Linked DNA regions of Mus musculus. The protein of the gene in region 2 purifies or fractionates together with the protein of the main gene of each other region. This does not show direct contact. Links are inferred from orthologs where the notes say so. Each region holds a gene or a part of one and is shown on either strand. Other genes may lie near its edges.

Region 1 (4,372 bases), on a different chromosome or scaffold from region 2:
CCACTTGAAAGTCTCTGCATTGCCTGCTAGCTACCTACTACAGAAAGAAGTTTCTCTTCTAAGCTTGACTGAAGCATTGAGAATTAAGGGTATCAATATATTTAAAAGGCAGTTTAATAACAGCAAGATATTAGTAGATGTTGAGTTAACAGAATTAGGAAAGGGAGTTAGTATACATATAATTTTCCTGGCCATGGACTCTTTGACTAGATTTATAGCACCAGACACAGCTCTTCTGTAGAGCAGGCCTCAAACCTAATCCAGGAGTTGTGCTCTGAACTGAACTTGAACCTTCTGGAAGAACATTATGAACTTTTAACCACTGAGCCATGTCTCTACCCCACCCACTGCATTTTGAGGCAGGTTCTCTCAGTGGCTGTCCTGGAACTTGCAATATATAGACCAGACTGGCCTCAAACTCAAAGATAATGCTGGGATGATTGATGTGCGCCATCAGGACAGATGCTCTAGGTAGGCTCTCTTTGCCTTTTCTTTTTAATTGTATTTTATTTATATGCATATGAGTGTTTTGCCTGCATGTATGTCTGCCTGTATTAACAGGATCAGGCCACACTCTGAGCAGAGTCAGAAAGTGAGGGTGGAAGAAGATGGTGTCACACTTTCAATAAAGAAGTCAGTTTGGTTATTTCACTATCAAGTCGGGTGATACAGTAGAAGGCCACACTGATGCTTAATTCTTTTCTAACAGCACTTTTTTAGATAAGCCCATTGTGGTGCCCATACCTTTAATCCTAGCTCTTGAGGCAGAGGTACCTGATCTGAGTTCCAGAACAGTCATAGCAAGAAAGACCCTGCCATAAAAATAAACAAATGAAAACCAGTCCTGGTAGATTATAATTTTGTAAAGCAAACCAGATTTGACTAATGTGTTCTATAAAAAATAAGAATTTATAATGTCAAATTTCTTCTGGCCAGTGTTTTACAAGTTTCCTTTTACTTAATTTTAACTTTTACCATGCTGAAGGATCAAATTCCAGGGCTTTATGCTGCTACCAGGCAGCTTTCTAGCACAGAGCCAACAATCCCAAACCTGTTTTAACTGTAAACTCGCTCTTGTTACGATTATCAAAGGGGGTGTTTATCTTTAAAAGTAGATCCCAATATTGAGTACACTTGCCTAAACTATACAAGCTTTTGCTTGCCTCCTCATGAACCACTGCTTTGGGCCCTCGTCTACCAAACCAAGGAAAATAATGTTTAAATGGTCATCCTGTTTAAGAACTGTGTATCATTTCAAAGTGCTTTGGGACAGCACAGCCTGTAATAGCATTGTGAGATGGTTGCAGCCACTGACAAGTCTACTCCTAAAACAGACTTTTACACTCAGTCAGAGGCATCAGTAGTGATGTCAGTAAATACCATTTCATTTTTTTAAGCACTTAGTAAGGAAACAAGGAAATATTTTATTGCTTGCCAGTATTTTTAGTGCTTTAGTCACTGGTCAGTTGTTGACATTAATATAAAATGCTTTTGTAGAAAATATTTAGGTAAATTGTTGGCCCATGACCTCCTCCCCCCAAAAAAAGATAGTAGTTATATTTAAACTTTTAAACCATCCTAAAATTAAAAGCAAGATTTTGCTTCCTTCTTTTCGGATTATGTAGTTGGGTCTTAAGTATAGCTTGGAAAAAACTCCCATCCTATGGCTGTGAAGGTTACTTTGTAGATTTTGTTAGAAAATTATCCTAGTAACAACCAGAAATAGACCTGTGTTTTGCTTATAAGAAAGTTGGTAATTGGGCTGGAGAGATGGCTGCTCTTGTCCCAGGTTCTATTTCCAGCACCCATATGGCAGCTAGCAACTGCCTGGAACTCTAGTTCCAAAGGATCTGATGCTTGCCAAAGCCACTGTACACATGAGGTGTACAGATAGTGTGCAGACAAAACATCCATACACATAAAATACAATTTAGAGGCGGAGAAAGAGGTTGATAAAGGGCAGTAAAGCTTTCTAAAACTGTTGTTTGTTTGTTTTTTTAGGGATAAAGATGTGGTTGGTGGTATTTGGTGTTTCTGCTGTGTCAGAGAATTCAGTAACAACTATGGATAGTTGTTTTGGAGGCAGAAATGGCATTTTCATCAAAGTGTTATCTGCTCTTTAAGACAGTAGGAAAATGTGGTGGTTTCCTGTGTCAGGTTTATAGAAGTGGGCATTCGTCTCGTGAACAGGCCATGCAGCTCTTAAATGTCAGGTTCAGCATCTGCTGCTACTTTACATCTGCTGCTTCCATAGGTATCAACTAATTATCAACACAGATGTGACAGATGTTAAAACTTCAATACTTTACAAGTTTGTGTTCCTTCTACAAAGTAATTCAGTGAGCTATTTTTAATTTTCATATACATACTTTCTTTTTTTTTTTTTAGCTCTGCTTATGATAATCTCAACAAAGTTCGAGTTGCTATCAAGAAAATCAGTCCTTTTGAGCACCAGACCTACTGTCAAAGAACCCTAAGAGAGATAAAAATCTTACTGCGCTTCAGACATGAGAACATCATTGGCATCAATGACATCATCCGGGCACCAACCATTGAGCAAATGAAAGATGTGTATCCTTTTCTAAAGTTAGCTGCTGCCACTGCTGCTTGGTCACTTTGTAGAGTAAATAACTTGGAATCAAGAAAAAGTGCACAGAGGGTTTTTTTGTTGTTTCTGTTTTGTTTGTTTTTGTGTGTGTGTGGGGGGGGGGTGTTTGGCTGTTTGGTTGGTTGGTTGGGGTTTTTTCAGACAGGGTTTCTCTGTATAGCCCTGGCTGTTCTGGAACTCACTCTGTAGACCAGGCTGGCCTCAAACTCAGAAATCTACCTGCCTCTGTCTCCTGAGTGCTGGGATTAAAGGCATGCGCCACTATTGCCCAGCTTGCACAAAGAGTTTTTTAATCACTCTTCCCGTATATGTAAAAGTATGCTAAGAGGAGATTATAATGTTTGCGCTTACCTAGTATTTAAAGGATTTTTTTTTTTTTAAGATTTATTTATTTATTATATGTAATTACACTGTAGCTGTCTTCAGACACTCCAGAAGAGGGCATCAGATCTTGTTACAGATGGCTGTGAGCCACCATGTGGTTGCTGGGATTTGAACTCTGGACCTTCAGAAGAACAGTCGGGTGCTCTTACCCACTGAGCCATCTCACCAGCCCCAAAGGATTTTTTTTTAATTTTATCTTTTTTCTTGTAACTAGTTTTAATATGCTTTCTATAAGTTAAGTGTTTGTCAGTTTCTGTATAGTTTTCTTTAATCTTAGTTTTGGAAAGTTGATTCATGTAATTTCCAATCCCATGATGACTGTTATGATAGTGAAAAGGGAGTCAAACAAGCTTTCACAACAGGACGTAGGTACTCTAGTAGATGTACACTTGACCAGATCAGTGTCTTCCAGACAGTCCTAGTGTGCTCCTCTTTCAGCCTCAGCTTCCTTATCTTTAAAGTAACTGGGTCGAGCACAGTGATGCACTTTAATCCCAGCACTTGGGAGGTGGTAGCAGGTGGATATCTAAGCTCGAGGCCAACCTGGTTTACAAAGAGTTCCAGGAAAGCCAGGGCCTCACAGAGAAATCCCGTCTCAAACAAAACAAAAATAAAAAATAGAATAGACTGGACCTCAAGGTCTTGAAGACCAGATCAATTCTGATACATGTAATTGTAGCCAGCATTAGATATCAGTGGTGAGCTGGTCTAGAAGAGTCCACCTCCTAGGACCTGTAGGAACAGCAGCTCCATGTTTCTAGGCAGCTTTTGTCTTTGTAAGCATGTCTGTTAGTAAGTGGGGTGGTGTTGCAAGGGAAAGCCTCCTGCTGCTGCACGTGTTGCTCTTGTTACCTTTTGTCAGAGAAGAACACCTTTTATAAATAAGGTTTGCTTAATTCAAGCATGGGACTGATCTCATTTAGCCTGTAGAAAATAGAATAGTATTTATGCGTAAAAATAAATGCAAAAATTCCCCTAATAAAACATCATTATAGTAATGTTAAAAGCAAAAGGTTACTACAGTTTAATTTTCATAAGAAATAATGTGGCTTAGCTGAAGTTTTAGGTGCTTAGGCAGTGGAGGTTAAAGAGCAGAACCTATTATCATCAACTTCTTTACACACCTTATGGTCTTACAATACATATGCAGAATTTAGAGAATGAGGAAGAAAGGCAGAGATTGGACTCAGTGGCGATGCTATTTCTAGGCCAGTACTTCTGGGTTGGTCTGTGAGGATATTGGTGACAAGAAGCAAAGAAAACAGTGCAATACAATTACACATTGCTTCTGGGCCAAAGAGATGGGTGTTGTTTGTTGGCTACCATGCCCTTTAAGCTTTGGAGGAAATTGGTTAATAGTGGACAGTTTGGAGAACAGAG
Region 2 (5,826 bases):
GGGTGGCAGACAACCTACAGATGACTCATTGGTGGCGGCATTGGGGGGTGGGGATCTTCAGTCAGAACAGGAGCTGGGGAGGGATGTGGGCTCTTCTACCCCAGCCTTGGACTTTCATCAGGTGTTGAAGGTGGGGGTTTCCCCCTGATTTGGGACTCCAGCAGAAGATGAAGGCAAGCTCCTCTTTTATGGTTCAGTTTGGCTTCTTTGAGTTCATCTGTGTTTGTCAGAGCTGAAAAGGGTACCACGCCAAGGACAGTGGCTTTGGGGTGTATGTGTGACAGATCCGCATTGGCTCATATGCAAAGACTGAGGCACCCAGCAGACTCTGAGGGACACACTCTCACCCTGCCAGGGGGCCCAGCAGCTCAGTTCAGCACTGGAGTCAGGGGCTGGAGTTTCCCACAAAGCTAAGTTGATTTCACTCCTGCTGCAGGGACCTCAGCTAGCAGGGCCTCCCCTCTTCTCCACAGCTGGAAGGCTGTGGCTCCAGGCATGGCAGGTGACTCTGTTCAGCAAGACTAGACATGATGGTCCCCCTCCATGCTCTGTAATTTGTCCCTGGAATCAGCCATTAAGTCATCTGTGAGGCTGATGCCAAGGATAAGAGCCCCCTATCAGCTTCAGGGATCTATGGTCCAGACTCCCTGGCTGGGCTGCCAGTTGTGCTGTATCAGCCTCCAGACAGGCTTGGTGGGAAGGGACCCAGGCTGTGGCCCTGGAACCAACTTGCATGACCGTGCCACTGAGACACAAGTCCATGACTCCTGGTCCAGGAGTCCTCGTAGCTCTCCCTGGCATTCTGTATCCCCCACAAGCCCCAAGTTCCCCAAATCAAGAGGAAAGGCATAATATTTTGCTCGAGCACCTATATACCTACCATACCTTATGTTAGGGGTCCCCACAGGTTCTAGCCACAGGCCTCCAAGAAACAAAGGATCTGCAGGGATGCTGGAAGGGTCTTAGTAAAGGCAGAGGATTGGCTCAGGGCAATAAAGATTTGGGAGGCTGGGTTCTGAACACTGTCCCCACCCGCCTGCTTCAGTTCAGCCACCTACCAACTTTCTCGCCCCCAACGCAGGAGTGTCCCGGGGGGCCCACGTGCAGCTGGGCCTCACCACATCCGGGAGGGGGGGGCGGGCAGGCACTTGAGTGGGGGAGCACAGAATGGCTGTGAGTTACCCAGTTTTTCATTCTTACAGTTTGGTGTGGGACCAGGGCCTGTCCCAGAGGGGTTTGTAGCTCCTAAGGGGTCGGAAGGGAACAGGTTCTGTGAATAGTCCTTCTTCCCCTGAAATTCCCGCCAGGCCTGGCTATGCCCTGGGAGAGCCCAGCATCGTCAACAGAGTTCCTCTTTAGCCCTGGCCTGTGGCATGGGAACTACTTCTTTTTAGGCTCTTGGGGGTTTCCCTGGGCCCCTGGGGAAAGAAACTGTCCCAGTCATAAGAGGAAACTCGTCACAGGCCCCTGCGCCCCTTCCCCATTAAAGCCCCTCCCACCCCACCCCACCCCCGCCCCTGCCCCAGGGCTTTGGCTTTCCAGGACTCCTCCACCTGGGCCTGGGCCTGACATGGGAGAATAGGACAATTTCCTGACGGTTGGTGTCTTTCCTAATAGTGTATCATTATGGGTAGCAACAGGTAATTTGTCCATTTTTGCTATCGAAATTCCTAGAATGAAAACCCTGGGAGAAAATGGGAAAAGTGAGGAAGCTGAAGACCTGAGTAACTCAAAGGCTCGGTGCAGCTGAGAGCTGAGTTCCTAAGCACTTAGTGGCTTGAAGCCTGGCAAAGAGTGGGGAGCACTGGGGCATATACACTGGAGAGACGTGGGTGGGGCCTCTAGACTCCAGGCCGACACTTGTCACGGTCTGGTTCCCAGTTTCTTCCCCCGCGTGTCCCTCCCCCTGATGCCCCGCCCCACCCACCCCCTGTCCGCTCAGGGAGCCCCGGGGGCGGCCCAGCCAGAGTCCCACGTGAAGCCGCGGGGGCGGGCACCGGCGCCTTCCTGCTCTACCCTTGTATGGTGACCCGAGGGGCCAGCCCTCGAGTATTTAAGCCCGGGCTCGACGAAGAGCCCCCAGAACCGTCAGCTCCCGCCACACAGACACCGCGCCGCCGGAGCCGAGGGAGAGGACATCCGGAAGCAGGAGGCTTTGCGATGCCGATCGCCATGGGGCTGGAGACGGCGTGCGAGCTAGAGTGCGCGGCGCTGGGCGCGCTGCTGCGGGAGCCGCGGGAGGCCGAGCGCACGCTGCTGCTCGACTGCCGCCCGTTCCTGGCCTTCTGCCGGAGCCACGTGCGCGCCGCGCGACCGGTGCCCTGGAACGCGCTGCTGCGGCGGCGTGCGCGCGGCACCCCCGCCGCTGCCCTCGCCTGTCTGTTGCCCGACCGCGCACTCCGGGCGCGCCTGGGCCGCGGGGAGCTGGCCCGTGCCGTGGTGCTGGATGAAAGCAGCGCGTCTGTGGCCGAGCTCCCGCCGGACGGCCCCGCTCACCTGCTGCTAGCCGCACTGCAGCACGAGATGCGCGGGGGACCCACGACCGTGTGCTTCTTGCGAGGTGAGCCCGCGCCCCGCGCCCTGCGCCCTTCGCCCCTTCTCCCATGTTCCGCGCCCCGCGCTCTTAGCCCCTTGTCCCACGTTCCGTGCCCCGTTCCCGACCTCTTGGCTAATCATACCCTTTCTTGTCTTTCCCACAGGCGGTTTCAAAAGCTTCCAGACGTACTGTCCGGATCTGTGCTCTGAAGCTCCTGCCCAGGCCCTGCCTCCTGCTGGGGCCGAAAATAGCAACTCTGACCCGAGGGTTCCGATCTATGACCAGGTGAGTTGATATTCGAATTTGTTGTCTTCATTGTGCATTCTAGAGGGATGCCTCTGGAGAACGCCAGTGGGGAAAGACAGGGGTGTGTTCCAATATACATTCCCAGATGTGGAGAGTGTTTGTGTGACCTGCAAATGGTGTGAACGTGTATATATCCTCATACAGACTTTAAGGCATATGTGGCACAAAGTGTCTGAACATATGTCCCCTTGTGGCCTCAAGACTTTTAATTCTGTCCTTGGTCAGAAGGCCTAGAGCTTCTCTTGTTTCTAGCCAATCCAAGATGTCTGGATCAAGCCCTCCAGCACAAGGCTGAGTGAGGTCTCACCACCGTCCCCTTCCTCCTCCAGGGTGGTCCTGTGGAAATCTTGCCCTACCTGTACTTGGGCAGCTGCAACCACTCCTCAGATCTTCAGGGCCTGCAGGCCTGCGGCATCACAGCAGTTCTCAATGTCTCTGCCAGCTGCCCCAACCACTTTGAGGGTCTTTTCCATTACAAGAGCATTCCAGTAGAAGATAACCAGATGGTGGAGATAAGTGCCTGGTTCCAGGAGGCTATCAGCTTCATAGGTAGGGGAGCCTCAGCCCAGGGTTCTGTGGGAACTGTAGGGGAGAAGGTACAGGCACCTGATTCCTCTGTCCACCTTCCTGTCTGACTCTCGGCTCCACATTTCTTTTTCAGACTCGGTGAAGAATAGTGGGGGCCGGGTGCTGGTGCACTGCCAAGCTGGCATCTCTCGCTCAGCCACCATCTGCCTGGCATACCTGATTCAGAGCCACCGGGTACGGCTGGACGAGGCCTTTGACTTTGTTAAGCAACGTCGGGGAGTCATCTCCCCCAACTTCAGTTTCATGGGGCAGCTGCTACAGCTGGAGACCCAGGTGCTGTGTCACTGAGGCAAAGCCCAGCCTGGCCCCACCCACAGCTCTGGCTTTGACTGACTCCTGGGGGAAGCTGCTGTGGCCCAGCTCCTCCCTCCTCATCTTGCCGTCCCACTGGGGTGCTAGGAAATCCAGGATGACGGCTGCTCTGATATGGTGCTCTTCTGAGGTGGCATAAGGGCTGGCCCTTATTTGCTCTCCCTCCTTCGACTTGCAGAAATTAATTTAATTAATTAATTTACTATATTAAAGCCCTTGGTCACCCAAGGGCTCAGAAAACAAGCTGTGACAAGCAGAAACCATGTCTAGGGGTGTGCAGCCCTTGACCCAAAGCTTAAGCCTTGTGCTCCCAGGGGAGCCAGGAAGTGACGTGTGTGTCATGTTACGGACATCTGACTTTTGTGTGTGTGTGTGTGGGCATCTCGCTGTAATTGGTGCTGAAAAGTTATTTGTGTTCAACTGACATTTAACGCTCTCTCCCCAACTTCCTCCCGGCCCTGTGGGCCAGGGAGGGGCGTTGGAAACAGCACTTTATATTTATATAGAACATTGAGGTTGTGTCAATAAAAACAGTGTTTTGTTTAAAAAAGAGCAGTACCACATTGTCTGGTCTCAAGTCTGTGCCTGCGATGGCTGAGTGGTCTGCCTTGGCCTGGGCTGGCCTGGGCTGGCCTGGGCTGGCCTGGGCTGGCCTGGGCTGGGCTCTTTCCCATACAGGTTCTAGCCTGTGGTTGAACTGGGAGGGTTAGGAAGGCCGAGGTCGGCCTCAGCCTCACAGCGGCTCTGTGCATCCCTGATCAGACCCCACATTTACCTAGTGTGTGGTGTGCAGGTATGTGTTGACTGAGGGCATTTAGATCAGAGGGCACTGGCTCCCTGGATGAAGGGTGCATAACCTACCCCTGGCGCCCATTTTCTCTGCTCTGGGTAAAGCACTCAAGAGCTAGGGTTGTTCTGAGCCTTCCTCAGGAATTGTATCAGTTTTTTTTTTTTAATGAATTATTTGGAAATCTCACATCAAGCACCCTGATTGTGCTCACCTCCCAGTTTTCCCACATCTGCTCCCTCCCCTCCCCAGGATGTTCTGCCCCCCCAAAAGGAAAAGGTAAGTCCATTTTGTTTTGTCCATATATTCACTGGAACATGGTTGAATTCTTAGTGGCCCACAGGGAGGAGGAGGAGGAGTCTTTCTTAGCCTTTCTCCATACCAGAAGCCATCAACTGAGGAAGAGCCAGTGAGGGGCGGGGCCAGCTCTCCCACACCCACACCCACAGACTTTAACGTGTTTTCAGGCAGCCTGCCTTAGTGGTAACCACAGGCATCAAGTGGGCTGGCCATATCAGAGCCACTAACCTATTCATGGCTCACAGCAGCTGTCCCTGGGCAGGTGCTACAACATGGCCTCAGGTGGCTACAAATGCCGCTCGCAACAACATGCTTCCACCTGAGCCCCCCTCCCCACCCACCCCAGGCAGCAAAGCCCAGGGACGTCAAATCATTAGTCAGAGGCACAGACTTGCATCTCCATCCTGGGGCAGCAACATGGACTATAGATACCAACATGACTTCCTGAACCTTTAAGGTGGTCTAATCCAGAAAGCAAACCTTTCTTCATCTTGGGCTTCCATGGTTGCTCAGAGCTAGCGGGATTTCAAGGCCAGGCAGAAGGTCTGGGGAGCTGAGTCTGCATCAGCATAAGCTCCAGGCTGCCATTCTGCCAACCTTCCTGGGCAATGACAGCGTGTCCACCAGCCCTCTCTCATCCGTCACCACCATCAATCACATCTCCAGTTTCGCCTTTCTCCGTAGCACACACACACTGCTTAGTTTTTCTATGTTCCCCACTATTCATCTTATATCTGTTTATTGTACTGGTGCCCGCCTGTACCAGGCCATGAGGCAGGCAACCCTACCAGTTTCTATTGGGACCTGTGGACTTGATGCCCAGCTCAGGGTGGACACCTGCGTCCCAGAGTCATTAACCTTTCATTATCTTATACATAGCATGGCTGGTTGCTGGCGGTCCCATTAGACCTATTCCTTGCCCTTCTGTGTTTCTAACATCTTACCTGCCTAGCAAATGGCCTTTCTTTCTTTCCTCTCCTCCCTCTCTTCCTTCCTT

Evidence for each region.
Region 1: the proteins of Dusp2 (region 2) and Mapk1 purify together in Homo sapiens (affinity purification with mass spectrometry; 4 studies listed by BioGRID and IntAct, with this or other methods). This does not show direct contact. The link is inferred for Mus musculus from reciprocal best matches to the Homo sapiens genes DUSP2 and MAPK1.

The regions. Positions count from the first base shown.
Region 1 is NC_000082.6:17,013,510-17,017,881, forward strand, and holds part of Mapk1 (mitogen-activated protein kinase 1), read left to right. Parts: intron 1-2,388; coding exon 2,389-2,571; intron 2,572-4,372. UniProt on the Homo sapiens protein: Serine/threonine kinase which acts as an essential component of the MAP kinase signal transduction pathway. MAPK1/ERK2 and MAPK3/ERK1 are the 2 MAPKs which play an important role in the MAPK/ERK cascade.
Region 2 is NC_000068.7:127,334,078-127,339,903, forward strand, and holds Dusp2 (dual specificity protein phosphatase 2), read left to right. Parts: upstream 1-2,081; 5' UTR 2,082-2,160; coding exon 2,161-2,560; intron 2,561-2,699; coding exon 2,700-2,821; intron 2,822-3,171; coding exon 3,172-3,391; intron 3,392-3,503; coding exon 3,504-3,718; 3' UTR 3,719-4,300; downstream 4,301-5,826. UniProt on the Homo sapiens protein: Dephosphorylates both phosphorylated Thr and Tyr residues in MAPK1, and dephosphorylation of phosphotyrosine is slightly faster than that of phosphothreonine. Can dephosphorylate MAPK1.